Daphnia pulex: one gene and its partners. The protein of the gene in region 1 binds, or shares a complex with, the protein of each later gene. Links are inferred from orthologs where the notes say so. Each region holds a gene or a part of one and is shown in the gene's direction. Other genes may lie near its edges. The genes, in order: TBC1 domain family member 23-like, syntaxin-16-like and protein FAM91A1-like.

Region 1 (10,861 bases):
TAAATTATTCTTGGTACTTCATATCGATCAGCTTGTCTCCACACAGTCATGGTTTGTGCCTCAACACCTAGATTACGAAAATATATCAAACAACGCTTTTGACTCTTTCTTTGTTGAGCTTCACAAATTACCAGCAGAAGCGTCTAAAATTGCCACAGCTCCATCTAAAGCCCTAAGAGCCTTTTCAACTTCAATTGTAAAGTCGACATGTCCAGGGGTGTCAATGAGATTTATATGATGGCCATTCCATGGAAACGTAATTGCAGCAGACACAATCGTGATCCCTACCAAAGATAGTAATAAGTATCAATGGCCAATTCGAATTTGAAGGAGAAACATGAAACCTCTTTCTCTTTCTTGGTCCATATAATCCATCACCGTATCTCCTTTATGAACTTCACCGGGAGATCTTATAACACCTGCATAGAAAAGCATTCGCTCGGTCGTGGTAGTTTTGCCCGCGTCAATATGGGCCATAATACCGATATTACGGGTTAGTTCTATAGATCCTGAAAGACATTTATCTTTAGGTGTTATAAGGTCGTCATTTTTGGAGCTCACTGAACGTCGGTAACCAATATTAGAAGAACTAAATCCAACCCTTCGACATATTTGAAACAAATGTGTTTTCGTGCACATGATGAAAAATCAAAAATATTGTGGTGGATTGTGGGCCTGGCTGTCTTCTTTGACGTTGCCAAAGAAAAACTTTAATTAAATAATTTTTTTTTAATTATGTAGTTTTTGGGTTCTTTTAGACAATTAATTTTTATTTGTAGTTTTTTTGGCAAATAAATTTATTGGTAAGGTTACATCATCGTTTTTCTTGTTGACAAACTGGCACTCACTGACAGGTCCTTCTTATGGTACTATAGTGTGTCGATGTAAACTTGGGTGGAAAAGTGAAGTTCTTTTTCGTGCCCAATATGCCAAACAAGAAAAAAGAAAAAGGATCCGAGGTAAGTCGAAAACTGTTCAGGAAGATATATTCAGTGGTTGGGAATCTCGAGTAAAAAACTTCAAGCCGAAATTCAGGAATGGAATGCTGAAATGGGAGGGTTTATTGGCGTCACGTCAGTGGCTGGCCAGCTTTGCTGAAATGTCACCTGTAACATGTTCGGTTAACTATCATTACCCGATTTCAGTGTTCTTGTTTACAAAAGCAGCCCATGTTTTGAATTTTAGTGAAATTATGCTTGGTAGTGGAGAAATTGTTCAGCCCTCGTAACCAAGGTCAACTTTTTCAACCTAACCCATTTTCCCCTTTTATTTATATTTACAGGACACAGGCAAGCCCAAAGTTGGCAATGGGAAGTCATCCAAAGAAGGTTCATCAACAGAAAATGGAGAAGAGGTAAGATGGTTGTCTTTTGTAGAAAGCCTATTAAAGAATAGCTTAAGAATTCAGGCCACATTATGTTGAGTAAAATTTTCACATTTGACCAGTCTGGGAGTCAAATTACTTGCAAAAGAGATATTCTAACAAACCAGAATGGTTTGGTTACATCTAAACCAAAGTGAAACTGAAGCTCCTTTAATTAATTCAGAAACTATTTTTCGTATAATTTATTTTTATAAATGTGTGTTTACATTTGCCCTTTGAAATATCACTTTATCAATTTGCATACATTAATATTAATCACCGGTTAATTATGCTGTTTAGAGCGGGAGAACTAGCCCCGGAAGTTCGCCCTCTTCTGGACCCAAATTGGCGACTGGACCACCACCGCCAGCACAAATCAATAAAATAAAGTTCACGGGTACAACTGTGGTAAAAAACCGACGGCAGAGCTCTTCGCGCTTCAACATTACCAAAAATCGCGAAATACAAAAATTGCCATTGCTCAAAGGTATTTTAATTTAATTAAAATTTACAAGAAGGATTTTTACATAGTTATTTTCGTATACTTCAGATGCGGCGCCAGCAGAAAGAGAGGAATTATTTGTGCAGAAGATTCAGCAGTGCTGTGTTCTGTTTGACTTTGTAGCCGATCCACTTAGCGACCTCAAATGGAAGGAGGTCAAACGTGGGGCTTTATTAGAGATGGTTGAATACGTCACTTCACAGAGGGGTGTTATTACTGAAGCAATCTACCCTGAAGCTGTGAATATGGTACTTTATGGTTATACATTACTTTTGGAAACACATTATTAAATGTTCTGTTCTCAGTTTGCCACCAATCTCTTTCGTGCCCTGCCGCCTTCGAGCAATCCCAACGGAGCCGAGTTCGACCCAGAGGAGGATGAACCGACCCTGGAAGCTGCATGGCCTCACCTCCAACTTGTCTACGAGTTTTTCCTGAGGTAACGTTCACCACCTGCACTGAAGTTTGATAGATGTCGTAAAGTTTATTTTTTTGGTTTGGTGAAAAAAGGTTTTTGGAATCTCCCGACTTTCAGCCGAATATAGCCAAGAGATGCATTGACCAGAAGTTTGTACTTCAGGTGACACATTTAGACAAAAGACTTGATGGTTTTTATCACGAAATTAACAAAATTACAAATTTATATAAATTCAGTTATTGGATCTATTTGATTCCGAAGATCCCCGTGAACGGGACTTTCTTAAAACTACATTGCATCGGATATACGGCAAATTTCTCGGTCTCCGAGCCTACATTCGAAAACAAATTAACAACATATTCTATAAGTAACTCACAATTTGTTTTGCGATATTTGCGTTGCCTTTTCACAACCTTTTATCCTGTTTCTTTGCTCAGATTCATTTATGAAACGGAGCATCACAATGGGGTGGCAGAGCTGTTGGAAATCCTAGGTAGCATTATTAATGGCTTCGCGCTTCCTTTAAAGGAGGAGCACAAGGTCTTCCTTCTTAAAGTGCTTATGCCGCTGCACAAGGTCAAGTCGCTGTCCGTTTATCACCCACAACTGGCGTATTGTGTCGTCCAGTTTTTGGAAAAAGATCCATCACTGACGGAACCGGTTGTCCTCAGTCTTTTGAAGTTTTGGCCTAAAGTTCATTCTCCCAAAGAGGTAAGATCCGTTTCTGCAAGTGTCTTTTGTTGTCTTTGAGCTTACTTACGTGTAATCACCAGGTGATGTTCTTAAATGAACTGGAAGAAATTCTTGATGTTATGGAGCCAGCTGAGTTTTCGAAGGTCATGGTACAACTCTTTAGGCAGCTGTCACGTTGCGTTTCCAGCCCGCATTTCCAAGTGGCTGAGCGTGCTCTATATTATTGGAACAATGAGTACATTATGAGCTTGATCAGTGACAACGCTTCAGTTATCTTGCCCATCATGTTCCCGGCTCTTTATAAAAATTCAAAGTCGCACTGGAACAAGTGAGTAGAATTCATTTTTGCCTTGTCTGTGGAAATTTAAGTTCATGTTCTCCTACGTATTTCTTTCAGAACAATTCATGGACTGATCTACAACGCCCTGAAGCTCTTTATGGAGATGAACCAAAAACTGTTTGACGATTGTACGCAACAATACAGATCTGAGCGGTTGAAAGAGAAGGAAAAATTCAAAGAACGGGAGGAGTTTTGGAGCCAAATAGAAGCTGAGGCTATTAAAAATCCTAAGCACCACTTAGTGGCTAATCTCATGCCCAAAACCATTTCTGGTGGAGCTTTGGCACAGTCTGTGAGCGCCGCGCTGTCGGCTGCAGGACAAGCAGCTTCAGGAGAGGACCAGGATGAAGACACAAACAACGTCTCTTATGAAAAGATCGAAGCCGAAGCTCGTGAGGTACTGTAGTGACAGTAATATGTTGTATTGTGTAAATGTAATGGTGTTGAACGGCAGTGAATTAAAACATGTTTTTAATGTAACTTAAATGCTCAATGGAACTTGTTTTAAATGCAGGCTAAACGAGTGAAGAATCGCGAGAAACCGTTACTTCGACGTAAATCGGAACTACCCCACGACACTTATACGATCAAAGCGTTGACAGATCATAAGAGAGCTGATGAATTCCTCCCGACGCCTCCCGACGTCAACACCAGTTGAACAAGGTGATGTGTACTTGGCGTGCAACATTTTTCAGGATGAGGAGAAGAAGATCGCGAAGAATTTTCATTCAAACTGTAGAGGCAGCATCAACCATTTAAAACATACATAAAAGTAGAGGAACATTTTTTTTTAGAGAAACCTGCCAAGATATCCCCATTTCCCAACTCTAGATCTAGAAGATCACTATCCCCTTTACCACTTGCGCCTAACTACGCTGTCTATTGTCAAACGCTAACCCCTTCAACCTTGATTAGATGTTTTAGTGTCGATTGCCTAACACACACTCCAGAAAAACCCAAATCGGATTGTGGCCATCCCCGTGAGATGTCGAATTCTGTTGCACACACGGCACAGAGAGCCAGTGGGAAGGAGAGATAGCAACAAAAACAAAAAAAAAACTAAAAAAATCAAACAAACAAACAAACAAACAAAAAAAATATTGAATCTGTGTAAATGTCCCAAGTAGATTGTAGTGGTTCATGTACCTTAGGTCCCCTCCTGCGAAACAGCAACAAAAACACAAAAATAATAGCTTCTATCATCCCTGCTACGCCTTCCCTCCTCACTATGGTTTCAAATCTTTGATTGGCATTCACGGTTATCCACTGTACACGTAGCCGCTTTTCCAACATTCCATTTCAATTCCAACATAACGGCCGAGCTTTATTATTATTGTTTTGTTTGTTTTTTCTTTCTACTCCTGTCACTCGGAAAGGGCCTGTTGTACCTTCTTTTTCTTTATTTTTTATTTTTTTTTTGTAATCCCGAAAGTTTCCTTTATTAATGTTTTCCCCTCCAGTTAAGACTGGCATAACCTTCATGGGAACTTTAGTTATTGGATTGGTTGTCCCTATAAGCTGTATAAGTGTTTGCGCGTGTTGTAGCAAGAAACGTTCACATCGCCCGTGAAGGCCGTTGATATATACAGCGGGTATAGGGATTTAAAGTGAAAAACAGTAAAGGCTTAACAGATAGCGGACGTAATCCAGCAGCTGGTTGACCAAAACACAGCAACAACAACAACAACAACAATTACATACAATGCCTGGTGCTCAGTGCTTCATAAGCAACTTATTTCCCTTTCCCCAAATTATTTGTTTGTATGTTGATGCAATCTTATTTAGCCAGGCTTCAATCTGTTAGTGCACATTGTCGAAATCTCGCTGAAATATTTTCGAGAGTGCAGTTTTTTTTTCCTTTTTCCAAATTCTATTCAACATTGTTTTTTGTTTTTTTCCGATTCTCATACAGCGCCACTGGCGATTAATCCCGGAAGATCTTGAACGAAACTTGTGAGACAGATTTGGAAGGTTGGCTGTAAACGGTTTTTGCTTCACATTTCTCCCTATTCCCTTCGTTGAAGAAGTAAAAGGGGAAAAAAATGCAATGTCAGGAGTCAGGACACTTTTAGTGTAGACCGTGTGGTGGTGTTCTGCCCTTGTGTTACGTGTCATCCTCTTATACAATATACCCTGGCTATCTATTACAGCTCTGCGTAGTGTTCAATGCAAAATTTACGAGATGTGGTTTTCATCTGCGACAAATGAGATGTAGAAATTGACTTAAAAAGTTCTTTGACTAGGAAGACTACAGCACTTTTCCACATTTGTTGATTTGAAATTATGTTGGTCCAGAAGGAAACGACACATTTTCTTTTACAGGAATTAAATGAAAGCATTCTACTGAGCAAACCTATATATTGGTGTGTGTTGTCTATTCAGTTTATTATCACAACTCAAGAAATAAAAACAAAATGTTCAGATTAATCAGCTTATTTCCATTTCATCCCAAGTCCTAATAACTGGGACAGGAAGTGTATAACAGATAACGAGGAAGGGAGGGGAGGGTAGATATGGGTTAGTAGATGCGATAACGATTTTTGAACCAAACGGCAACTTGCTTGGTTGGTTACTACTACCAGCTACTACGGGCAAAGGACCGTAGGAGGCGGAGCTTGCCAGCTTGGTCATTGAAAATAGTCTGCTGACGAAACACAACATCTGAGAATATGACAGGTGCAAATGTACATTGTGCAATGGCTGACGACCTAGACACAGACGATGGCTCTTGGTAATAATTATTCTTTTGCAGCGTTATTAATTCAATTAATAAAATAACTCTACCTGTGTATTATAAAGGATCTTGGCTCTTGAAGGAGCATTACAAGAGCAGTGCAGTCTACACGATTTGCGTCTGATTTGTCGTAGCAAAAGCATCCCCGATTCCATGCGTGGACAAGTTTGGTATCGGTTGTTGGGGTCTTCCACCGGCTCTCCTGCTGATGGACTTGAACGATTCAACGAAATATTTGACCTAGCTAATCAATCTAAACTAAGAGAAGACTGTAAAATCTTTGTGGAGAAGTTGGACAACGAAGAAGAAGACAAAGTTTCCATCCTTTCTGATCTCGAGTCTCTTGTTACTCATTATTGCAAGACTCGTCACATCAATTACGACCCAAACAATGGCTGGATGCACATTCTCACACCTTTAGTCTCTTTAAAACTACCCAAAAATGAACTCTACAGCTATTTTAATGCAATCTTGGATTCATATATTCCTAGGTAAACATTTAAATATATAGCATTATTAATGTTTTCAAATTAGGAACAGAATCCTTTTTTTATTACAGGCAGTGCCATTTTAATGGAGTAGCTATGCATCTGTTTCGATTACTTTTGCTGTATCACGAACCAGAACTATGTTCTTTCCTTGATTCACATAAAATTGCACCAAATTTGTATACACAGAAATGGGTAATTAATCCACTATTGTTTATTTATAATTGCATTGACTAATGATTGGCAACTTGTTTAACTTTCTAGTTTCTATCCTTATTTGCAGCTTCAAGTAACCTTCAAGCTGTTCTCGCTCTGTGGGACTACTACTTTATCCGTGGCGATCCATTTTTAATATTTTTTCTTTCGTTGGTTCTCGTCATCAATGCCAAGTAGGCCTAATTATCCTTTTTCAAATTTTTAAAATGAAGATCTTCATGAAATGATCAAACAGGGATGAAATAATGGCTCACAAAGGTGAGAAGGAAAAAATATTGGAAACTATAGCCGAACTCCCGCAACAGATGGAAGCTGGTGATATTCACGACTTTTGCTCACTAGCTGTTTTGTATTCTGCACAGACTCCTTTTTCGTACAAGAGGGTAAGATTAAATTTTTTTGATGTTAAAATACGATAATAAATTTTATTCAAAATTCATATTCACTTGAAACGTAGGACTACCATCAAGCTCTTTTTGGCGAAGATGCGTCAGATGAAAGAATGGATCTTTTGGTCTTGTCCCAAGCGCTTTGCCTGCCGGTATCTGTGCAAGAGTTGCTAGTCAGTTGTCATTTATTGAATCCTCCTACAAAATCTGATGCCGAAAGCAGAGCATTACGTTTCTTCCTTGTCGATTGTCGGCCTGCAGAGCAATATAACGCTGGCCATCTCCCTACAGCTTTCCACCTCGACTCTAATCTTGTAAGATTCTAAATCAGACAGAATTTAGAATTGAGAATAGAATTTTAGCATTTATTTTCATTCACATGTATCATTTTCAACAGATGCTAACTGAACCTCAAGCATTTAGCGTGGCTGTCCAAGCGTTACTATCCTCCCAGAAACAGTCCATCGCTGCACAATCGGCTGCAGGGGGAGAGCACTTGGTGTTTTTCGGATCGGGCAGAGAAGCAGAAGACCAATATGTCCACATGGTTGTAGCGTTTTTCCTTCAAAGACACGTTCAGTTTGTTGGCCTAGTCCAAGGCGGCTTTTCTGCTGTTCACCAAGCTCTGGTTGCAGCTCAGATTGAAAATGGGGTTGTCGCCACATCGGTTTCTATTGAACCGGTCGGACTTGTCGATCACAATCCATCACTGTGCCTTGTATGTACTGTCAACAAATCTGAAGAGTCGCCGACAGCTGCTGGCAAAAGCAATGCTCAGGGAACACCTCAGCACGCAACGGGATCTTCCTCTTCTTCATCTAACAAGACCGATTTCTTTGGGCGGATGCGCTCAAAGTCCGCAGTAGTTAAAGACAAACTCCTCGACTACATTGTTAATCCTATTTCAGCTGGAGATAATGAACCGACACCAAAGTCCAAGAGTAAAGGTGCGGAATTTAATTTGTGTGCTTTCAAGTTCACTAGTTTAAGCAATTCTTTCATTTTAGAAAATCCTAGTACCGGAGGAAAAAGCAAAGGAGCCGGCAAGCTCTACCGCAACATAGCGCCTGTATTTTCAATTGACGATGATCAAGATGGAGGTATAGAAACAATGTCAAATAATTATAAAGCGAGTAATTCATGATTGTGTTATTTTATAGATGATCCAACTTTTGAAGGAAGTTCTGAGCGAGAGGCAGACGCACCGAACCAGGAACTGGTAGCCATATCTTCGTGGCTTAAGAGACCAGACGTAATCAACTCATTCCGTTGTCATGAAGTTAAGGAGAGTGGGCATGCATTTCCGAGGTTAGTTCTTTAAAACTGTTTATGCAAATTTGATGTGTAATCCGTTTGTTTTGCTGTAAAGTTATTTGCTGATTACGCCAAGTCACTTGTATGCCCTAAGAGAAATTGAAGATCGTCCAGGTTTCGCGCGCATCAGCGTAAATCGTTCATTATCTTCAATCATGAAAATCACTAGCAAAAAGCGACATCCGGAATTTATCACTTTCAAGTATGGGAACATAAAAGGCGAAGAAACTATTATTGTCGATTTAGACAGGTTGGTAGAGTTTTTTAAAAGATTCAATGCAACAAACATCAAAGTATATTTATGGATTCTAGATTCGTCGTCCCTCAAGCTGGAGATGCTGTCAAGTTGGTCAAGCTGCAACTATTCAACAACAGTTCTGCTGCCAACGCAAATAGCTGATGGAAGCAATGGAATGCTTGTATGAATATCAAGAATCATTTACACAAGACTTTTTTCCTTTAAACAAACTTATGAATTCCAGTTTTTCAATCTGAAAATCTTTTCCAGTCAGTTATAATTAGGTTTGGGTTGAAAGAAAATATTCCATCTCTTATCGTCGTATTGAAGCATATCACTTACCTGATTGCTTGAATCTTACTAAATGCCTCTTCCATCCACAGGTGTAACCAGTAGTAAAAAGTTTAACGATAACCAAACTCATTTAGGTAGCACCGTAAGCCCTATTTTTAATTATTATTTCAAAAATATGTTCTAATAATTTGGTGGTCATCCTAGATAACTTTTTCGTTTCCGTTCTGAATTTGTATCGTTAACTTCTCTATTCAAACTTCTATAAGATTCAACCAGAGGAAATATATTCGTAAGCTAAAAAAAAAAATTGCACCGAAATATATGTACTAGGATGTCTTTTAAACCCGTTGTTATACACGACATTTTGAGCTAACCGGGTGCAGCATATTTAGAAGGAATCACTAGGGTTTTGCCTGACATCTTTCAGCTGTTAAAAGGAGATTTCGTTGTTCATCTAGAAGGAAACCGCTAAAGTGAGTGCACCCTAGATTCCTTCTCTCAGTGCCTAAATGCTTCATCTTTTAATAAACTCCGGCTTTAGTCTTTTTCAGGTTCGAGACGGATTACCATGCAAGAGAAGTGATGCTCAATGCCGTCGTTGTCGCTGGTGCTGGCTGGCCAAAACATCATTCAGAACCAAGGTAACATTTGGCCATCTTTCATGTTCATGAGTGTCGAAAGAGATCCTTAGAAGCTAGGTTTAAATGAAACGTTGGCTTGTGCACTGGACCGACTCTTGTAACTGAAAAAAAAAAAAACATGTTTATGTTATTATTTGATAACAATCTAGGACCTCCGAGTTGTTTTGGGGTGTGATATTTCATCGGCTAGGGCCAGAATCATCCTTGTTGTTTACATTTTGAGAAGGCGATAAGAAGCGCGACATACTTGATCGCAGACAAAATGTAAATCTTAATTGGGGCTCCCCTAAATGGATATTTAAATCGGAAATGAATTCAAATAGATTTTTTTCTAAAAAGGAAAATTGTGTACTAAATGGTCTCAAGGGCGTTATAAGATCAACAAATAACATTTTGATTTTAATTATTGCATCGATAGCGACAAAAGTCTTTTCAAAATAATTAACTCGTGCCACATGTCAGGTTTTAAACAAATTACAGTAGTACAAACAGAAAATACTTAATCTTTGGAAATTAACATTTTAGGATGAGAATTTCAAAACAACTGTTCATCAAGTAGGAAGCCGCTAAAGTGTGTAGTCATGTCAATGTCTTCATAATTTCCTCCTCCCGATGCAGACTGAAGTACTAAATGAATTTTGTCTTTTCTTCTCAGGTTCAAGATTGATTGAAGGGAAAGCGAGAAAAAGCCCTGGTGATCGCTGCCGTAGATGCTGGCCACATCCTCGACGTCATTCAGCACCAAAGTAACCGACACATGCTGGGGCTTTTCACGTTTGATGGCTCCAAAGGAGAACCGGAACACGTACGTTCCGGACTTGGGAACAGTAAAAACACCTTTTTTCGCGTCCATCCCACCTCCTTGATTGGATCGAGTTATCTCAAAAGGTAGGATCGATTGCACATTTCCTCTTCCTTCCAAGTAGAACGGTGATTTCCTTAGGACGTAAAAATAGACCAAAGATGACGCCACGTCCGCCTTTCCTATCCAGGTTTCTCGAGGGGCCCCTTGATTTGAAACATTTCAAAGTTAGTTTTTTTTCCCACCTCTTGTTAGAAATTAGAATTTCACCTGATGTCATGTTGCAGTAGACCATATCGATGTTATCGTCTCCCTTGACGGGGTAAATTCCGCTCAGGGCGTGACCCATAGTCTTCAAATCGTGACAGTTTGCCGGCATCCGCGTCAATGATTTTCCCGCAGGGCGATCTGATCTTCTCCTAAGTTCTG
Region 2 (10,292 bases), on another chromosome or scaffold:
GCTTTTAATTTCCATCATGAGAAACGTGAAACGTCACGACCAGCAACCCATATCTTCTGCGTCTTGGAACAAAATGGCCGTTATGCGTCACTGCTGAAGACACTCGCGCTACCTGGTGGACATAATTTCAGCCACCTATTGACAGCCACCTATTGACAGCCATTAGATTCCTGTTCCAAATGACGGAACGCAACGGCTGGATGCAATGCTTGCTTCCAGATTGCTTGAAGCTGCAAGCTGCAGCTTGGAAAGCTGTCTGGAAGCAATTTGCTTCCAGACAGCACGCTGCACGCAGTAGCTCAACTTTAATTCGACATACCTTTCGGCTTTCAGTCCTTTCACTAGCTGGCACGAAATGAATCAAATGAGCATATTTAGCAGCTTTCCCTATGACACAAATACACACAGTTTTTAGTTAGCTTTTCAGACTTTTTAACTCTTCAACATAAAAATCTATAATATCAACATAGAACTCCACTATGCGACAATAGAATTTCAATAAATTCTTTAATTAACTTCATGTTCGAAGTTCGACAATAGAACTCCATTGAATTTTAAATATTTTAAATGTCCGACAATAGAACTAACGATTTTCAAAATCTACGATTGTCGCGTAGTTGAGTTCTGCTGTCGGGTATTTTTAATAATATTTAAAAAAGGAGTTCTAATGTCTTTGTCGTTGGAGTTCTACTGTCGCATACAAAGAAATTTTTAAAAATTATTTGCCGTCTAGCGTCAGAAAAAAGAAACGTTTGATTTGACAGTGATGTCCGGTTGTCCGCTCTAGCTCGTTGACAACTTGACAGTTGACACTCAATTGAAAAAACTAACAAAAAAAGACAAATAAATTTAATACTCACGTTATATTCTCCCCTTCAAATTTATTTCACGTCTTCACCAAAAAGCCACCACCTCAGCATCACACATCACAACAGAAGAAATCCCCAAGGTATAATGCTTCTACAATGAGGAGTGATTCTAAATGTTTCTACATCTGTAGTGATTCCAGATTGTTGACAAAATATCTTGTTCTGCTACCTTTACGGATTACCTTTTAAACTTTTAACTGCATTCCTGTCATTCTGCACTTTGCCTTACTTGTGATAAATCTTTCTTTTTCTCTGCAGGTTCCGGTGGCCATTGATGTTCAGGCTGTGAATTGAGATGCTGCCTAATGAAGAGATGGTGAAAGGCTGAAAGGTTTGCTTGAAGCTGTTGCAGTGTTGCTGCTGTCCTTGGTCTCACAATTCAATGTGTTCTTCGATTTGTCTGTTGTGTCAAATCTATTCCAAATTCCCCTCCAAATTTATATCTTGTCTTCACCAAAAAGCAACCACCTTTTAGTATCACAAATTCACAACAGACAAAATTTCCAAGTTATAATATGCTTCTACAATGAACAGTTCTTCTACATGCTTCTACATCTATTAGTGATTCCAGATTGTTGACGAAATATTGTAAACTGCTTCCTTTTTACTTATAACCATTTTAACATTTAACTTCATTCCTATCATTCTGTACTTTGCCTTACTTGTGATAAATCTCTCTTTTTCTCGTCTGCAGGTTCCGATGGACATTGATGTTCAGGCTGTTAATGGAGATGCTGCCTAATGAGGAGATGGTGAGAGGTGTGCTTTATAAAGCTGTTGCTACTGTATGGTATTGTGGTTTCATGTGTAAGTTCACTTTTCATGTCACTGAATTTCTTTCGTTGCAGTCTACATATGTATTTTAAGTATTGATCTGGGCTTATGTGTAACTGATGTTGGACTCCTTTTCTGAGGCCCCGTAAAATCGCTCTCGTAATAACCGTTCCTCAACTTTTCGCTCTTTTTCCTGTTTGAGCGTGTGTAAGTTTGATTAAACATTATTAATATTAACAAACAACAACAACAAATTAACATTGAGGTTGAATTATTCATAAACTAAATTAGTAAATTTGAATTAAAAATAATTTTATAATAAATTATAAAATATATATAATATTGTGATGATAAATATTGGAAGTTTTGTATGTTGCTTATGGGGCTCTTCGGGATCTGTTTTATTTAGCCGATTTATCTGGCAACGCAGCATGGCGCCAGTCTTTTTTGAGGGAAGAACGGGGAGAAGAGGGAGAATGGGACGAGTGGGAGGGAGGAGGGCGTACGAAAAAAAAGGGGACCCACGTTTCCTCTTCTCCCCCATTCGTCCCATTCTCCCTCTTCTCCCCGTTCTTCCCTCAAAAAAGACTGGCGCCATGCTGCGTTGCCAGATAAATCGGCTAAATAAAACAGATCCCGAAGAGCCCCTATTATTACAGTAATAAGCCATATAGATATTAAGAATCAGGTTTTGAAGGACAACATAGTTTGTAGAAATGGAAAAGAAGTATGTAACTATTGTTCAGGGAGCAATTAATTTTAGGACAATACTTGTTGAATTGTAAAAATAGAATTTTGAAACGAATGTTAATTAAGCAAGTAAAGTGTTCATAAAAAAGTTTCCCTCATAATTTTCCAAATTTTCCACATATCATGGAGCTTATCGCATTATGACCGGGGGGTGATGGTCAGCTAGGGGTGTTGGTTGGTTACTGTTTACTTAATAACACGGGGAAGGAAGGAGCACAGCTATACTATTGTGATCATCTACATAATTTATCAGTCTTAAATTTCAGCAGTCTCTTCAGTTTCAGCTATGGAACGGCGACTCACTTAAACGAAAACGGAGATTTCATTAAAAGTAAATAAAACTGAGACTGTACAAGAAGCATTACCTCAACGCACAGGTAGCAAAAGAAGGAATCGACAAAATGCAGTCGATTAAATATGCCCGACAACCATCAGGCAACATGGACTATTTTCAGCAACTTTTCAACACCGCATGAACACAACAAGCATAGAAAAATAAGAAAGAGGTATGAATGGTATGATGTTGAACTGCAAGTCTGCACAAACTCCATTCAAGTCCATCTGTCAACTGGAAAATGACCATGAAATCCTACAACGCAAAACAACATTAGTAAATCAGTAACATTTTGAAATACGAAAAATATACCAATTAAAAGTTTCACAAAGCAAAACAGAAAAATGGAAGTGATATTTAACTTTAGCTTAAATAAATTAAATTTTTCTACCACTCATAAGTTACAGAAATGATTTATTTAAAATTTAGAATAAACTAAACCCTAATCAAGAAGAAAGTCAACAATCACATCAAGTTATTAACAATGACGGCAATTTCTGCTTTTTCCTCAGAAAATTTACAACTCATTAAAAGAACTTTCCACAAAACTGTCTGATTAAGCACAAAATATCGAGGCCACTTGTCAAAGATAAAGAACACAATGCTAACCCACTTGATTTATCTTACAAGTATCACAATATTGTCTTACAATAGTGTAGAGACCCTCTCAAAGACGTATCTTCATGACATGGCAGCGACCACTTGGAGAAAGGCATGATCTTCGATAAACGTTTACCAAATAAATTCAAGCAGATTAAAAAATTGACTAAAAGAAAAGAAAAAACTTCATGATTCACTTACTTGCTTTAGAGTTGTTCACTTTCGATTCAGCTTGGTCGAATGGCGTCAGAATACCTCAATCATTCTTAAATGTAAAAGCGAAAAAACAACGTTAGCAACACATTCCAGTCCACTGTCTTAAAAGCAAATTTCGTCACTCACTCACGGACACTTCGCCACCGGTAAACATAATTTTACACACCTAGTGAAAAGCAACAGCATTAACGAACGACTGAATGGTCCATTATTAAATGTACGAACAATATCAACACCCGAATCTGCATGAACAACTCAACCCACCGTTCACCAGCTAGATGCACCCAAGTCTTTCTGCACATTGGACTGCCATCAAGAGGCTCAGAGCCTCAGAAGAGGTTGTAAACTTGTAATCCTACTTGGAGAAAAAAAGTCCTTATCAGAAAATACGTCATTTGTATGCTTTACATTTGTGACATCAACAAAATGACAGCAGCTTGGTTCAACTAGGCACTTTTTTGGAATTACTTTTAAGTTGCAAAGGAATCTACAATTAGCATCCTTAGAACAGTTTTAACTGAGAAGTCAACAGATACAAAGCAAAAAAACTATATAGCCTTACCGTAGAAAAGCTGATCAACTTGATTAATTTTATTTGCTCTGAAGTATTTTTGCATGTGAAGAGAGCTGCAAACTGTACAGGTATCAATCAAGCCAGCAAGAAGAACACCTTTCGCCAGCTGGCTGCAACAAACCCATGAGCACATTGGGCTGAGAGGCTCAGACCTGAAGAGGCTGTATTCCTATTAGGAGAAAAATCAATTGCTATCAGAAAATAAAGTCATGTGTGACATGAACAAAATGACAGAAGCATGGTTTAGCTAAGTAATCTCTAGGAATTACTGTTACATTACACAGGAATCAACAATTGGCATACTTTTAAAATGTTTTTAACCTTTAAGTCAACAGATTTCAAGCAAAAAAACTACATGTTAACTAGTAAATGAGTATCCTTACCGTAAAAAGCAGATCAACTTTATTATTTTAAACTCTTCTGAAGTGTTGCTGCATGTGACGAAAGCTACAAGCTGTACAGGTAGCAAACAAACCTGCAAGTAAAGAAAACCACCTGCCAGCTGTCTGCAACAGCAACAACTTCGTGTGCATGTGGGACTGAGAGGCTCAGACCTTAAAAGGCTGTATTCCTACTTGGAGAAAAAATCCCTAAACACACTGAAATATTTAGCCACCTGGTGACAGCCCTAAGCATCCACGGACGACGGGAGTCAATACATGCTCACTGTAGCCTACACCTGCGTCTGCGTTATAATTACGGATTGCACTAACACTAAGTCTATAATGATTAAACATTTAAACCCTACATCGTAATCTACTGTATGCAAAAATAGTGATGCCGTATTGGTATAATAAACTTTGTAATGTTCACTTTACTATAAGCAATGGCATACCATAGCAATTACTTTAACCATTACATAGCTGTCTGGCATTTGCGTTAGCATTACTACTTCTTTACTCTCACATAAAAAATTTTCATGAAATGTGCTAGGAATGGCTTAATAGTTAATACTATGGTGAATATTAATGAATTGTTTGAAACTAAAAAAAAAAAAAAAAAAACACGCGCTCTTTTACTTCCATCTAGTGGCTGCTGATGACACCAAAACTTTTCTTCATACTAAATGTGCCACGAAATGTCAAAATCAGCTGTACAAGGATCGAGTCCATCGATTTAAAATTGTCAAAATCAAAATCTGGCATTTAAAAAATAAAGTTTCAGTGCAATATCTATTATCCAAATCAATGTTTTCAATTGTGATGTGTACGATTTAGATTTTTCTTGTGAAAATTTAGATCACGTACATCTTAATATCGATGATTCAACCCCAATATCGACTGAAAGTTCACATAGAAAATGGCAACACGAAGTATCACTGAAATTTTCATTCTGATGCGTAACAATGCTATTCAAAGTCGCAATTTTTACTCTGAACAAGTGAGTGACTCATTTTGACTTTTGAAATTACTGGTAATTGGTAATGGTTTGCTTTTAGAGCATATCAGACACGGATTCCTTGGTCCGTCATGAAATAGATGTTCACGGCAAGAGTCATGCCACTCATGTAAGGATTCCTCCAGAATGGACAGACAGCTTAGAAGAGGCTCAGTACACCTTGACAAAAATTCAAACTCGACTAAAAGAGTTGAGCTCTCTTCAAAACAAACATCTTCTTAAGCCCACATTTGATGACTCGATGAATGAAGAGCAGCAGATTGATGCCTTTACTCAAGACATAACCAAAGTATTACAGATTAGAATTAATTAAATTGTTTAAAACTTCAATCCTTCTTTGTTTATTCTGAAGATGTTTACCACCTGCCACAATTGCATAAAAAGGATTCAGTACAATAGTACTAGTCCTAGTCTGGGGCAGGCAGAAGCAAATCTTGCCAAAAATGTGGTCACATCTTTGGTAACAACATTACAAAATCTATCAAACACCTTCAGGAGTGACCAGAATGCATATCTGAACAGTTCAGTTCTTATTCATTTATTTCTTTTACAAAGTATAGCACATTCCAGTCACAGTCAAAGCCAGTCACAGCACTTTTATCATGTCAATATTACTTATTCTAAGTGATAAGTAATCATTACTCATCAGTCATCTTCATTTCTTTATCACACAAGAATGTAGTTTCAAATCTCTGATTTGTATTTTGTTGCACCTAGATAATAGTTTAAAAATCAATTAACCAATTCGTAACAAAAATGTAAATTCATGTATATACTTATTTGCCCACTGCCCAACAGAAATTAAATCACGCGAGGAACGTTCTCAACAATTTTTTGGTGGAACTTCCTCCAAGGATTGGAATTATGATGACTGGACCAATACTAGCAGCCAAACCGAAACTCCGCGAGTGATGAGCCAGCAGCAATTGATGTTGCAGGAAGAAAATTCGTCTTTCGTTGAACAGCGCGAGAAGGAAATTCAAAATGTGGTCCGTTCGATATACGAACTGAATTCGATATTTAAAGTAATTTCTTTGACACTTTGAAGCATTGCAACATTATTTCATTATGGTGTAACTTATTTTTGTTCATTTTCTTAAATCTGCAGGAAATCTCTCACATGGTCGCGGATCAAGGTACCGTTTTGGATAGAATAGACTACAATATTGAGCATACACAAGCTAAAGTTCACGACGGTTTGGTTCATCTGCAAAAAGCTGATAATTATCAAAAGAAAAATCGGAAGATGGTATGCATTGTCGGTTTGGTTTCCACCATCATCCTTCTAATCATTATTTTAATTGCTGTTAAATCTTGAGTAAATAGAAAATCTAATTTCTGTTCAAGTTTTCCATGTGTGTATTGAACTGCTGGAAATGTACGTGTTTAAATGCTGCATAGTATATGTTTTACAAGTTCAAAACACTTGAATTTTCTAAGGTGTTGTAACTTTAATATGAAGTGTACATTTTCAATTACAGTCGCAATATTAGCTACCCCTCTCGTCACCAACTAGGGCCAAAAACACATTGGTCGTCCTTAGTATTGACATGCAAAAACAAATTACAGAACGTTAAAACCGCTCTTGTTTCGCACCCCTAAAGCTATAGTCCTGGAAACAATCAAATTCCTTTTGGAAATGTTTTCAGTAAGGACACGCGTAACGTATAGCACCGTAACGATGCCATTTAAGACATAAGCTCTACTTATCAGCAGTAAATTCATAAAGAAAATCAACAATAGATATTCAAATTTCTCAACGAAAGCTTCTTAAAAAATGAGAGTAGTAGAAAACGAAGTTTAGAGAGAGGAGAAGGCACAACGAAGACTAGCAGAGCACTCGTTGAAGTGGAGGTGTAATAGGGTGGTGATTCGGACTTATTTCTCAAAGATGAAAACCGTGTTTCGTGATATTTACAATAGATTGTATCAATAACCGCTGATACAAATGAGGGGACTAAAAGCGCCTTTGATTCGCAAAAGTTCAATATTAGGAACGCTTTTAATACCCCCGGTAAAACTAAATGGCGATCAACGTCACGCCGGGCAATCAAGGTAGTTGACGGATTCTTGAGGGACATGAAGGATGGGCGGATTTGACACTTCTTCTTTCCTCTCCAATGGACAGGATTTCAAATGAATATCTCTCGTGATAGCTAAGGCGCCTCCTTGGGCGAAACGGACAAAATTATCTGAGACCAAGGGCCCCATAGCGTACAACCCAGGTTGCTTGGTGGATTCGAGCGTGAATAGATCGACATCAAGCGGGTTATTACGACATGAGATAGGTTTGGTCACGTCGACCGTTAAATCACGTCCTTTATTTTCAAGGAAACTTAAACTAGGTCGAGAGCCTATTAATACCACGACGTAAGAAACTTTGATTCGAGTGGAGCACTCTGGTCCTTGCAGACAGACTTTTCCATCATTTTGAATACGCACCACTTGGCTCTGCTCCATCGGAGTGTATCCTGAGTAAGTCATTCCGTTGTCTTTCATCATCTGATAGACCTGATAATTAAACAAATCAAAAATGAAATGATGTCAACTCAATCAGAAATTGAGAAAAATTACCTTGTGGTACTCAGGGTACATGTTGGAAGGAAGCTGGCCAAAGATAAGGCTAGGATCGGTAGCCTTGCGTCGAAACGCGTGAATGATGGGAATTCCATGAAAGTGTGCGGCAATTATAGCATCCGCTGCAGACAAGCCAGCCCCAACAATGAGAACCGGTTCACTCCGACTGTTCAATTGCTGACTGGAAATAAGTTGTTCCATCGCTTGTAAGGATTTGACGACAAAGGGCAGATTTTCACCGGCCACGTTCATACGATTAGGGCGATCAGAACCACCAATGGCTAAGACCTATTATTTCAAATAGAAAATCATTATCAACATTCCTAAAACTAATAGTGAAATTGGCTAATTCAATAGCCAGATATTTTCACTCTCGTACTTATAATTATAAAGTAGATTATAACAGAACATACCACGTTTGGAGTCAAATATTGAAAATCTTCCAGTCCTTCAGCTGTCCGGATGTGACCCGTCACTTGCCAAAGTCCACGATCATTGTTCTCGTTTGAGCCATTTTTTAATTGATCTACACGACGAACCGAAGTGACTTCCGCTGAGTCGCGGAAGTAGGGGCGCAATCCTTTGATATCAACGTAATCGTGATAATATCGAGCCACGTTCTTAACCGAGGCTCGTTTCTGACGACTCCCAAGTTGCCGATCGCAAACACTTTCTTCCCATTCTCGAAAGCTCAAGTTAGCCAGTTCCATCCACGTTCCTCTGCTGATAGTCAAAACGTCTCCCTCCATTGCCTATACAAAAAAATAGGGGAAAAATACAATGAAAAAACGGCCATACACGTTTTTTTAAAAAAAGATCGGCCTTGATGCAATAATGCCTGTGGCAATACCATAGTTTCTCTTTTCTAGAGTCGAGAGGAAATCGAGAGAAATGAGTTTCTACAGTAATTATAGGGTTTGTCCTTGTACCAGAATCAAGGCTAAGGTCGAAACAGTATTGCATTTCCTCCAACGCTCATATGTGTTTCCATGTAAACAATTTTTTAAGTGTAAACAACAAACAAGGCCCATTACATAATAATAATTTTGATTATTGTCGTATCGGCGTACGGTAACTACGCACCATTAAAGTCCAAGATGGATGAAATATTTTTCAGATTGAGAAAAAAATTGAAGGTTCAAATCTAAACGTACGTGTTGCTAAGCTATTTTACAATCTAAGAAAGGGAAGGAGTGAGATAAATTGATAAACGCACCTGCCACGATCCCCCCGGGGGACCTCTGCCAAGAACCACGTGATCGAGAGCATGCTCGGGATGGTTCTTCCATGCAAGAAGTGATGGTAGATCTTGACCTGTGTCTGCATCTGGGTGATTCAGAATGTCGTATAAAAGAGCAACCGGATTGCTCGACCGCCCTTCCAGTCCCTAGCGTTCCAAATAGAAATGTTACCAGAGAACTACATAACCAAAAACAAAATAATAATAATAATAATCTTCATCTCTTACTTCTGATAATTCTTTCAGATCTTGAAGAACCAACGGGCAGTTGGGTTTCGATTCCAATCTGTAGTGAAGAAAGTCTGGTGGATGCCCCATCTCGTCCATGCCCTTATAATAGGGCCAATGGCCGGACAAGAGATAAGACAGAGTAATAGCTGAAGGTCCGTTACCTAGAAAAGGGTTATCTCAGCTTTTATTCAACGAATTCACATTGTGCTAGAACATCAGTAAACGTTTGGAAATAAATTACCGACGACGACAACGTCTTTGGTTATGGTCTTGACTGACGTTTCGATATCGACAGATCGAGTATCCGCAACTGCTTGGCGCGATCGTCTTGAACCCGTTAATGGGCAGCGAATGGATTTGGTGCGCATGGTCCTGTTGCTAGGTGAACAAATCGTTAGAATGCATTGTGTTTTCTAATAAACCATCGATAGCAATTATGGGAGGATAAGAATTAGCGTCATTAGTCGAGCAAAGCGAAGGCTTAATTCGCACCGCAACTGTGCAGAAAATATGATGGTCATCACTTTGATTAACACAAGACCTTCAAGTGAAGCTTTCGCTCGAGGGAGGGAATTACCCGCAGATACCTCTCGGTAAAAGGGCGGTTGCAATCAGGAAAAGGTTTTTAGACACAATGTCACATATGGATAGAATTAAGGGAATGTTGAAATAAAAGTTTTGAATTTTCTCCTTGAAATGCATGGAAATCGAAGACTAACTGATTGAAAT
Region 3 (10,779 bases), on another chromosome or scaffold:
TGACTTTAATGTTATATAATACGAGTGTATTATGAGGAAGCTTTGTTACTTTTGCCACGCAGCGTATAGAATATAGAATATCGAAATTTCTCAACACATACACATGTTATGTAAACATTCACTGAAGCGTGGATGCTGCCCGTCTATTGTATAAAATGTTTATGGTTCTGAACGATCATCGACAGGTGCGTTGGGTTTGACGACTAATGCGTTTTTCATCTCACCCAAAACATGTTACTTTTAACCAAGAACAAAACTGAAAACTCTTTTTCGCGAAAAATCCTCACGACCTATAAAAAAAAAAGGAATCAAAAACCTTAATTCTAATTTTATATTGAGTAATTTATAATTTTTTTTTTCTAATACGAAGCTTCTCTTATTGGGTTGCAGACAAGAGAATATTAGCAGATATTAGTCTGTGTAAGAAAAACAAATTTACATAGAATTCCCCTCTTTTTCGCTTCTTCTGGATAGTGTCATCTCTGGATCCCAGACGGCGTTGTAAATTCACTTTCAAAAGCAGCACTAGATAGAGCTTTTTGACAATTGTAGTCGTCTGCTTTTCGTGGTTTGTCATTCATCCACATGTCTTTTTCTTCTTCGTGTTTTCAGTAAAATTACTTGAAGTAAAAGTTATTACAGATTTTTAAAGTATTTTCAAGTGAAAAAGGAAGGAAGAATGGAGGACCATGTTGATGAAGACAAGAAAAAGGCTCACCGGGAACGCCGTGCTGGTAAACTATTTTGCAGCACACAGTATTTGAAGACTATAGCATTTAACGATGGTTGAAAAATTATTAGGGCGCAAAGCGGACAAGAAAAATTCAAGGATCCACACATCCAAGAAATGGATGAGAAAAGCTTTTGCTATCCAGTCATTAGCCAAGGCTCGGAAACATTTTCACAGGTAAATCGGTTTGGTTCAGCCCAGATCAATCGAATCTTGCATGAAATGTCTTTCATAGCTGACAAAAATTTATTTCCCACGTTGGTTAGCAATTTCTTATTCTTTTCTTTTTTTTTCAGAGCACGTAAATGAAAAAAGCATCATATTCCATTAGTAGACAGGACTCCATTAGAACCCCCACCGATCATGGTAGCCATTGTTGGCCCACCCAAAGTTGGAAAAACCACTCTACTCCAAGCTCTAATAAAAAACTTTACACGACAGAATATCACATCCATACAGGGGCCCGTAAATGCGTTATCCGTTAATTTTTTACAATATTGAATCTAAAACTTATTATTTTTCTTGAAAAATCTAGGTAAAAAACGAAGGGTGACTTTTATGGAATGCAATAACGACATCAACTCAATGATAGACATCGCGAAAGTGGCTGACCTTGTTCTGCTTTTGACTGATGCTTCGTTTGGCTTTGAAATGGAAATTTTTGAATTTCTTAACATCTGTCAGGTAAGATTTACTGAAGCATACTCCTTGTGTTCAAAATTTATGATCTCGAACGATTACCAGGTGCATGGATTCCCCCGAGTAATGGGCGTTCTGACTCATCTGGACATGTTCAAGAATAACAAACAACTGAAAAAAACTAAAAAAGTTTTGAAGCACAGATTTTGAACAGAAGTTTACCAGTGAGCGAAATTGTTTTGCCTTTCTGGTCAACTCCACGGAACCTACCCTACAAACGAGATCAAGAACCTCGGCCGCTTTATCTCGGTCATGAAATTCCTACCTCTGTTGTGGAGATCGACTCATCCTTACGTCTTGGTGGACCGATTGGAAGACATGACACCTCCCAGTCGATTACACGAGAATCCCAAATGCAATCGGGACATCTGCCTTTACGGTTTCGTGCGTGGTGTCCACTTGAGAAATCACTGCCCCATCCACATCCCAGGCTGTGGTGATTTCCGCCTTAAAGATGTTTCTTTTCTTCCCGATCCTTGCCCTTTACCGGATAAATTGAAAAAACGTTCGCTGGTCGAAAAGGAGAAGCTGATCTATGCCCCCATGTCTGGGGTGGGCGGTATCATCTACGACAAGGATTCCATCTACATTGAGCTTGACGGCAGTCACTCGCACTCCAAACAGGATGGCCCTACAAATCCTAAATCAGAGATGATCTCGTCGCTGATGAAGTTGCAAAGGACGCTGGATGTACAGATGTCTGAATCAAAAGTAGAAGGACCTACTCTGACTCGGGCGGAAATTTTGGCTGCCCGATTTTGGCTGCCCGATTCACATTAAGAAACCCGTTCGGCTGCCCAGCTGACACCAAGGCCGTCATTGAATGCTCGTCTGACTCGGACTGTTCCGGCCGGGCCAAGTGCTGCTCCAACGGATGCAGTTCCACCTGCACCTCCCCCGAAGGTCCGTTTAATTGGAAATTATTTAAAGTTAATCGAATTAAATTTAATCCAATTAAATGGAATTTTTTTTAAATTAACGAAACAGAAAACAGTTCCGGCCCGTTGATGATGTCCATCTCTCTGCCCGTCTGCACCCTGAAGGGCGACTATGCCCGGGAGCAGAGCCAGGGCGAGTTCAGCTGGTGCGTGGACACGACCGGCCAGCCCATCGACGACTCCTTCACCCGCGGATCGGTCCGCTGCTCGCCCAACGGGACCGTCCTGGAGCAACGGACCCTGGGTCCCATCTGCCCCGACCCGAGCGTCCAGCCAACCGCCTACCGGGACGAGTGCCTCCACGTCCGCTGCCCGTTCATCCCGGACGCCATCTGCGTGGCCGATCCTTGCGACGACTGCAAGGTGGCCTTCATCGACGAACAGGGCCAGCGGCTTGAGTGCACCGATCGCTGCAGCTAGCCGGCCGAGACGGGCCACTGTTGGGCCCTTTTCCCCCGCTACTGTTACAACGTTTCTTCCCGATCCTGGGAGGAATTCATTTCCGGCGGATGCGAAGGCAACGAAAATAATTTCGAATCCGTCCAGGAGTGCAGCCAACACTGCGAGAAACCAGGTAGAAAATTCAATTGACTTTAATTCATTTGACTTTATTCATTTAACTTAATTCACAAATTTTTTTGTTTCATTAAAAATTTTTGTTTTATTATTTTTAATAGTGAACGTGTGTGAATTGCCCAAGGAGCCGGGCATGTGCCGGGCGAATTTCCCTCGCTGGGCTTACAATCCGTAGACTCAGCTGTGCGAGAAATTCTCGTTCGGCGGATGCGGAGGCAGCGCCAACAACTTTCAAAGTTACCAGCAGTGCGCCAGCCGCTGCCCGGACTTGGTCCTCTGCCCGCAGCAGTCGCCGATGCAGGGCGAGATCAAGTCGTGTAGCCGTAACGAGGCCTGCGCCGGACAGACGTGCGCCAACCACCCGGAAGCTGCTTGTTCCGTCGATCCTGCACCTGTCAGGCCGTCTTTGTCGGCGCAGACGGACAGGCCGTCAAGTGCCTGGGTCAAGTCGAGCCGGCCGTCCTCCAAGCCGAGCCCCGCCACGCCTTCCACGACGTCCAGCCGGAAGTCAAAGAGTCGACGACAACAACAACCACGACAACAACTACCACCACCAGCCCAACAACCACCACAACAACAACGACGAAAGCCCCAACAACAACGTTGGGTTAATGTTGATTAACGCTTTATAATCATCCATTGGCGAGAAATGAATTTTCAATTTGATTAATAAAACCTTGTCACATTTCTCCGGCATTTCTTATTTCACACCTGCGTTAGCGAAGCATTTTCTAGATGAGGTAGTTTATATTATTACAATCCCTTCGATTCGAAATGTAGTCGTTCAATTATAACTTGAACCTTTAGCGTGAGATCATGCCTGTTGATAAGATCCAAAATTTGGACGACGCGCTCTCCAACTGCGCTCTCTAATTGGTTGTTGCTGCACGAGTGAATCCTCCATGGGCGTTGTCCATGCGCGTGTCGTAGACGATTTTCAGGAGATTAGGAAAGTCCAAATTTCGGAAAATGGCAATGCAATTTGGATTCACATCTTTTCCAAATTCCAGCAGAAACCGAATGATGCCTAGAAAACAACCCAAAAGCCCAGTACGGTGGATCTACAACCCAATCAAAAAATGTAGGACAATGGGAAAAATCCCGCCCCGGACGATTCAAAAAATACCCCCCCCGCACCATCATCAGTGGCCCAGTAAAGACTGAAGAAGAACTCGTCGTCATTTCCAGTCCCATTGAGGAAAAATCTCTCCCTGGCAACAGACTTTTACTCACCAATATCCAAGGTGGCGATTATGGGCGGATTGTTGGTAGCGGGGGATCAAACATCTATCGCATTGAAACAGAATACGAAATCGTCGTGAGTACAAGAGGATAAACGAAATCAAAGTTTGAAGGACTTGTTCGATTTGTGCTCCCGCGACATTCCGCAGAATAGTGAACAATACCTAAATACAGCTATTGCCCTTTTGAGTATGTATTTTCACTGATAGGTGGCGCTAGTAGACACCGAATTCACATACTTGAGACTTCAAATTTCAGCGATAGACTTCTACTTTAGCCGTTTAGCGTTCAACATTGAAAATTTTATTTTTAAATTTAAGACTTAAACACATTAAAAGTTAATAGAAAGATAAGAGAATTGAATGTAATTAAGCATTTACTTTAATATTTAAATAAGTATTTTTTAAAATTTAAGCTTCCAATTTTAAGGAAACAGATTGTCCCCACGGCATGCCATAATATAGGGACGCCCTAATTTACATCTAAATGTGTTTTGTTTTCTTTATTATTGCAACAGATAAATGAGGAATTGAAAAAAGGTAGTTAAATGACCTATTTCGATTTTCGATAAAAGACGTAGGCCTACGGTTCTTTAGTTACTAAATACTAATCGCCACCGCTAGTTGCAAATTCGGTTCGATTGGAAAAAATAGTCTGCTAGATATTTCTTGTGTTTAACATTCATTCCTTCCTCTTCAACAATTTCTGTGGTTTCGCATTAAACTTTTAAGTTACTGAGGTGTTTTCTAATCAATGCCATGAATCAGGAAGTAGAATCTCACATTCAAAAGAATTGTCCCTGGACAAAGCTTCCTCAAAATGTGAAACAAGTAAGAATATATGAAACAATATGAGACAGTGTTTTGACAGGTAGTGACATGTTTTGTCTCAGTTATTAGGTGGATCATATAAAGAGTATGATAAATGTGTGGTTGCACATAGCATTAAAAATCAGCTTCGTTATAAAGGCAACTTAGGTAACATAATTGTATTATTTTATTAAATACTAATCTTAATGAGAATCATTTTCCAGTGCGCCATGTAAGAAAGGATGAAGAGAGATATTATGAGGAACTGCTTGAATACAGTAGGGTGCATCTTGTTTTGTACCCATACCATTTATCTGATGTTATGGTAAGAGGGCTGAGAGTCACTCCATTTCAGTACTATGTTTCTATGGTTGAAGCTATTATGTTACAAGAAAGAAGCTATGATGCACTTCCAAATTTTACAGCAGCAGACTGTAAGTAAAGAAAACATAAAACATTTCAAATGTATCCAATATACTCATATGATTCAATATACTTTTTATGTCATTTATTGATAGGTCTAAGGCTTCTTGGAATAGGAAGAAACCAATATATTGATTTGATGAACCAGAGTCGTTCTGGGAGGAAGTTATTCAGAAAAAGGAATGCCAGAGAATTTCTCCCAACAAAACCTGTACAAAAAATGGTGATAGAGCCTTGGTGGTTGTAAGTTTTTTTGTTTTCTAGGTTAATTTGTTAATTTGATTCCTGTTTTAACATTGTTTATTTTTAATTGTGTAGGGTTCACACAGGTTCCATAACTGAGGATGATATAAAGGTCTAAACTTTTCTTGTAGTTTGACAATGAAACACTTTATAGATTTTAAAATGTGTTCGCAGATTGCAACTGAAGGCGACAAGTGCTTAATAGATTGTATAATTGACAATGGTCCACGCAAAGCAGGAACTTTGAATTACAATGATTTGCACAACCTTTATGGGTAATTCTTATTTATTGCAACATAATTGGGCAAGCTCTTATGATGTTTAATGTTCATGAGTAAAAATTTATTAATTATTTAGCAAGGGTTTGGTGTACCTTGAAGTGCCTATTGATGCCAGTGATCATATTTCAGTCCCACCACTGGAGGGTTTTGTTATGAATCGTGTACTTGGGGACTATTTTGAAACTTTGCTGTATAAAATATTTGTCTCCGTGGATGAAAAGACGAGTGTTGGAGAGGTACTGTATCTTTGTTCTAAAGAATAATTTATTTTTCCTATTTATTAAGACAAACGGTTTTAGTTGGCCAATGTCCTACAAATTGGCGTAGATCAAGTGAAAAATGCCGTTTCACTTTACTGCCGCTTGGGATTTGCTCGTAAGAAAAATGCTGAATTGGAACCCGGTACACTTCATCCATCATGGAAAAATGTTCTTAACACATCTCCCAACCGGACATCATCTGTTAGTTCAGTACAATCTGATGAAGATCCTCTCTTGGCCGAGCTCGCTGCCGCTTTAGCTGAACTCGGCACACCTTTACCGGTGGAGAAGGAAGGTAACAATTTCTTCTTTTTATTTTATTTATGTTTTTTATTCGTATTTATTAATAATAATAAATATTATTTTTTATTATATTTTATTATATTTTATTATATTTTATTATATTTTATTATATTTTATTATTTTTATCATTTTTATTTAGTCCATCGTCCCGTTGGCCCAGCTGCGGATGAGATAGACAAAGAGCTAGGTGCAGAACAGAAAAGAATCGCTTTTTTGTTTGACTCAACACTGACAGCATTTCTGATGATGGGAAACTTATCTCCGGTACAGCCTACAACTCGTATACTTTAGATGGTTAAATGGCATCACAACTTTTTTTGTTTGACAGGGTCTTAAAAGTCATGCTGTCACCATGTTTGAAGTCGGCAAGCTGTCCGATGAATCCCTAGACAGTTTATTGATAGAACTTGATCGAATCTGTACTGACGACAGTGAAGGAGAAGCTCAGCGGTACTTTGAGCACGCGTTAACCCTGCGCTCGACCGTCCAGTTTTTGAGGAAGGCCCGTCCGGTTTTGGAGAATGATACAAGCAGTGGGACTAGTACTTGGAGCGGGGGCCTGGATCTCATTCGTGTTGAAAGCTTACAATCACTTGACGCCGAGATCTATAGCCGATTGATGCACAAGAACTATCATCTTCTGGTTGCAATGGCTCCTCTAAGCCTTGAAGTTCGTTCTGGCTCTGTTGACGGCCTCCCGCCATTTTGGGGTCCACCTTCTCCCGAATTCACATCGCCTTGGTTTAAACTCTTTTTGTATCAACTAACTCAACAAGGACCGCCGACTTTGTTACTAGCCAAAGGCACACGTCTTCGTCGTTTGCCGAACGTTTTTCATCGATTTGATCGAATACTTTTAACTCCATGGGGTAATTTTTAAACTTTATCAACAGAGAATAAGTCGCTTTCCTAACCACAAATTATTGGATCATACAGGCCACGATTCTGGACTGGTTCCAGCTTCAAATGCTTTAGTGGTATTAAACGAAGCGCTGACCCATTCGGCTCTCATGATACAAGGTTATGGTGCTCAACGTCAACAGGAAAAATTGCACATACCGTTCCCTTTTTTAAACCAAACGGAAGGGAAATCTACACAAGAGGATGTTTGGATGAGTCACCCTACTGTTAAACGGGTTCGCCAAGAGTTGAATTTGCAGAATAGTTGTGGTTTTATAACCATGATCAATCTTGGGTTGGATAAACCATCCGATATCACCGATGTATCCGACCACAGAAGCAGGAGTTCAACGTTTTCGTCCTCACCCATTAATGGCATTAAAGGTATACAAATTAATCATTCACAAATCTTTTTTCTCTGTCGATAAACAAGCTTCGTATCTCCAGATTCTTCGTGCGCTGAAATATTGCGCGAGGAGTTGGACAGTATGGTGGACGAAGTTAGTGAACCGTTGAATCTTCGTGCCAAAGTCCATTTGGAAAAATGGAACGAAGCTGACTGGACCATTTTGAATGTTGATTTTGGCATTCCATTATTCGATTCGCAATTAAATAGTGAGGTTTGTGATCGAATTACCAGCCAAAAATTGTGGCAACGAGAAACTCTAGACTCTCTTATGAAAGTGCAAAAAGCCCTGTCCGAAAGTTTAATGGAGTTCATTCGGCACAACGTAGACATTTCGGTCGAAGGGAAACTAGTAGCGTCGGATATCGTTTTACCCACAAAAAACCTCTTCTTCCATGATGGCAAATTAAATTCATGGGAAGGGAATATCAACTGATAACTGTATTCTTAAAAAAAATGTTATTGTTGTTAACTGAAACAAAACATAACCAACTTATATAATGTGATCCACACATTCCCTGCATATGCAAAACTTATTAAGTGTAATTGCCTTGAGGCTCTGGTGTCAATTTATGGTTATCTTACAGTCTTATTAAATATTACATTACAGAAGATTTTTTTTCGTTAGCCCCAATTGAAACCGTCATTGTGAATCACGAGTCAAGAGATCTTTAGAAATTGTTCGTCAAAATAAACGGTTATTTCATGCTAATTAATTTCTACTAATTGTAATTTTTTTACCAGTGTAGTTGAAAATTGACTTATCGCTATGTGATTGCTCACACTAAAGATTGTGCAAATAATTATTTCACCAATCATCCTTCTGCCCAGTCAAGAAATATACAATGAAGTATTTCGTACATTTACCGCACTCAGTTTACTTTTATTCTCTTTAAACTACAGTTGACCATTGGTGCCATCGATTTTAACAAGTGCTCCTGCTAAAACAAGGTCGAAGGGAAAAACAGAAACAGCAAATAGCTAAACAAACAACGGTGATTTAGTGAACAGATATTGCCAACCTACCATTCAAAGTATTGAAGCAGAGCGGATTGACATCTTCGACGGAAGAGTTCACACTATTCGTCAATACTTGTCCCATTTCACAAACACACAGGTGTGATTATTAACAATAATAAAAATGGAATTAAAAATTCATACTGAAACACAGTCATGGAGTTGATTCGCCGTTTAAATCCAAGTACTTGGGTGATTTCGGGTCAATAGCTATACGACAGAGGCTACTACAGAACACAATGATGTACGAGATAACATAACAACTGATTGAGAACTGGAAGAAGAAAAATTATGCTTAAAGAAGCACACACAATTCTACATTCCAATTACTTTTTTTTTTATTAAGGATAGCGGTAGTTTCTTTGTTCAGATTATCTGAACTCGAAAACCTTTCCATGATAAAGAGCACTCATACCTAAGGGAATCCTTAAAAAATTGAACCTATGCTTCCTTGATCCTTGCTTTTAGCTTTAGTATCTTCTACTGGTTCCTCGGCGACTGGTTTCTTATCGATGTAAGATTGAATCAATTCAGCCACCGCAGTGTGATTGAAACGTACTGCTTCATCTTTCGGCGTTTGTCCCCATCTGAAATAGCAGATTTGATTTGATTTTTTTATTTCTTCTGCCGCTTTTACTAAATTAAAATTTAATATCCAAAGTACCTGTCGGCCGGACTGGGAGGCACTGCGCAGTATTTCAAAAGGAAATCTACGCAATCCAAGTGTCCTTCTGCGGCAGCTAAATGCAAAGCTGTACGATTGTCGTAGTCGGTTTGCGTCATATCGACACCGGAGAGTTTATAGCGCCTCATAGCCGTAACGTCGCCAGCTGCTGCTGAAAATAACAAGCTAACGATATTGAGACCTTTAGTCTCATATTTGTGTCGGCGAGGATCTTGCTTGTTCACTGCATGTTTCAAGTTGTCGTAGCGATGGAAATTGAACATGCTGACCAATTCCTAATTAATTGAGAAAAAGCTGCTGTTAGTATCCACAAGTAATTTTGTTTTTTCAATGAGTTTTATTAAAGAAACTTACTTTACAAAATTCTATGCCTCTAACTGAATTTCCAGACTGATCCAATGGAGGTGACCAGAGAGCAATGCCCAGCACGTTTGGAATCACAACCAGGAGCCCACCACATACCCCAGATTTAGCAGGAAGGCCAACCTTGCAAAAATATTAGGATCAAGTATACTCTCTAAATAATAAAATTAATATTTAAATTATTTATTTGACTTACGGTGAATGCAAATTGCCCAGAGTAGTCGTACATTCCACAAGAGTGCTTTAATTAAAAGACAGCAAATTTTATTATTTCAAATCATAACACAAACAATTGATAAAATAATTACCATAAGGGATAAGACGTCTCGAACCGAGTCTGGTTTCAAAACTTGATCTCCCGTAGTAGGACAGATACCTCCATTAGCCAATGTGGCTGCAATTACGGACATGCTTTCGCAATCCACCTCCATGGAACAACACTATGGAAAACAAAAAATTTCAATTAAAATTTTGTAAAATTGAAATGGTCTAAAAAAAGAAAGCGGACCTGGAAATAAAAATCAAGACATTCGCGGAGATTGATTTTCTCTGGGAAACATTTATTTTCGCGCATGTAGAAGGCCAACGCGTAGTTGCGGTCTGCGTTTTCCCGTTCTGATAGGAAAACGGCGTTGTTAAATCCAACGAACTCCCCGCCAGACATCCGCTGTGAAAGAAAATAATACCAAATTGATTCGATTACATTCAGGAAATGATAATTTTCAGTCTTTCTAACGTATATGGTAACAATATACGAAGCCTGATGCGTAGTTAGAAGCATGCTGTTAGTTCATAGGAGCGTCGCCATACATCTATATAGAAGCCACCTAAGCCAACCCTTAATAAGCCTCCTCATTTGAAAAAAATTAAGAAGTTATACGTGTAGGGAGAAAACACAATTCTT

Evidence for each region.
Region 2: the proteins of TBC1 domain family member 23-like (region 1) and syntaxin-16-like are in contact, whole or in part, in a crystal structure (PDB 8QQF), measured with the Homo sapiens proteins. The link is inferred for Daphnia pulex from reciprocal best matches to the Homo sapiens genes TBC1D23 and STX16. Residues at the interface, in NP_001186127.1 of Homo sapiens: Leu638, Asn639, Ser640, Val641, Val642, Lys643, Ile644, Thr645, Ser646, Lys647, Lys648, Ser661, Ser662, Ala663, Ile666, Thr683, Lys687, Ile690, Met691; in NP_001001433.1 of Homo sapiens: Asp209, Asp210, Asn211, Thr212, Leu213, Tyr214, His215, Arg216, Phe218, Thr219, Glu220.
Region 3: the proteins of TBC1 domain family member 23-like (region 1) and protein FAM91A1-like are in contact, whole or in part, in a crystal structure (PDB 8JJ9), measured with the Homo sapiens proteins. The link is inferred for Daphnia pulex from reciprocal best matches to the Homo sapiens genes TBC1D23 and FAM91A1. Residues at the interface, in NP_001186127.1 of Homo sapiens: Arg533, His534, Val535, Ser536, Ser537, Asp539, Val541, Gly542, Lys543, Pro544, Tyr545, Arg546, Val548, Pro550, Val551, Phe552; in NP_659400.3 of Homo sapiens: Arg49, Glu60, Arg61, Tyr64, Asp84, Ile85, Lys88, Gly89, Leu90, Arg91, Ile92, Thr93, Phe95, Ser96, Ile159, Pro161, Tyr176, Ile177, Thr178, Glu179, Asp181, Ile182, Lys190, Asp194, Ile197, Asp198, Tyr216, Asn217, Lys218, Gly219.

The regions. Positions count from the first base shown.
Region 1 is NC_060019.1:10,733,769-10,744,629, forward strand, and holds TBC1 domain family member 23-like, read left to right. Parts: upstream 1-5,845; 5' UTR 5,846-5,985; coding exon 5,986-6,047; intron 6,048-6,115; coding exon 6,116-6,541; intron 6,542-6,609; coding exon 6,610-6,733; intron 6,734-6,802; coding exon 6,803-6,927; intron 6,928-6,989; coding exon 6,990-7,137; intron 7,138-7,211; coding exon 7,212-7,457; intron 7,458-7,540; coding exon 7,541-8,090; intron 8,091-8,150; coding exon 8,151-8,243; intron 8,244-8,303; coding exon 8,304-8,451; intron 8,452-8,512; coding exon 8,513-8,707; intron 8,708-8,769; coding exon 8,770-8,857; 3' UTR 8,858-9,362; downstream 9,363-10,861. Other genes in the region: ribosome-releasing factor 2, mitochondrial-like, read right to left, coding at 1-67, 132-284, 345-639; serine/threonine-protein phosphatase 2A 56 kDa regulatory subunit gamma isoform-like, read left to right, coding at 927-959, 1,283-1,354, 1,664-1,850, 1,914-2,113, 2,171-2,304, 2,376-2,445, 2,520-2,650, 2,721-2,994 and 3 more; uncharacterized protein LOC124191175, read right to left, coding at 10,166-10,638, 10,703-10,861. UniProt on the Homo sapiens protein: Putative Rab GTPase-activating protein which plays a role in vesicular trafficking. Involved in endosome-to-Golgi trafficking.
Region 2 is NC_060020.1:4,600,271-4,610,562, forward strand, and holds syntaxin-16-like, read left to right. Parts: upstream 1-5,165; 5' UTR 5,166-5,416; coding exon 5,417-5,497; intron 5,498-5,555; coding exon 5,556-5,804; intron 5,805-5,867; coding exon 5,868-6,036; intron 6,037-6,313; coding exon 6,314-6,540; intron 6,541-6,623; coding exon 6,624-6,833; 3' UTR 6,834-6,911; downstream 6,912-10,292. Other genes in the region: oxidative stress-induced growth inhibitor 1-like, read right to left, coding at 7,553-8,026, 8,090-8,380, 8,506-8,844, 9,309-9,479, 9,561-9,724, 9,805-9,931. UniProt on the Homo sapiens protein: SNARE involved in vesicular transport from the late endosomes to the trans-Golgi network.
Region 3 is NC_060026.1:7,150,726-7,161,504, forward strand, and holds protein FAM91A1-like, read left to right. Parts: upstream 1-4,674; 5' UTR 4,675-4,943; coding exon 4,944-5,015; intron 5,016-5,077; coding exon 5,078-5,162; intron 5,163-5,218; coding exon 5,219-5,428; intron 5,429-5,512; coding exon 5,513-5,660; intron 5,661-5,735; coding exon 5,736-5,772; intron 5,773-5,834; coding exon 5,835-5,935; intron 5,936-6,017; coding exon 6,018-6,177; intron 6,178-6,240; coding exon 6,241-6,496; intron 6,497-6,643; coding exon 6,644-6,768; intron 6,769-6,832; coding exon 6,833-7,373; intron 7,374-7,440; coding exon 7,441-7,788; intron 7,789-7,851; coding exon 7,852-8,246; 3' UTR 8,247-8,522; downstream 8,523-10,779. Other genes in the region: glutaminase liver isoform, mitochondrial-like, read right to left, coding at 9,255-9,414, 9,492-9,787, 9,867-9,998, 10,072-10,116, 10,184-10,315, 10,384-10,542. UniProt on the Homo sapiens protein: As component of the WDR11 complex acts together with TBC1D23 to facilitate the golgin-mediated capture of vesicles generated using AP-1.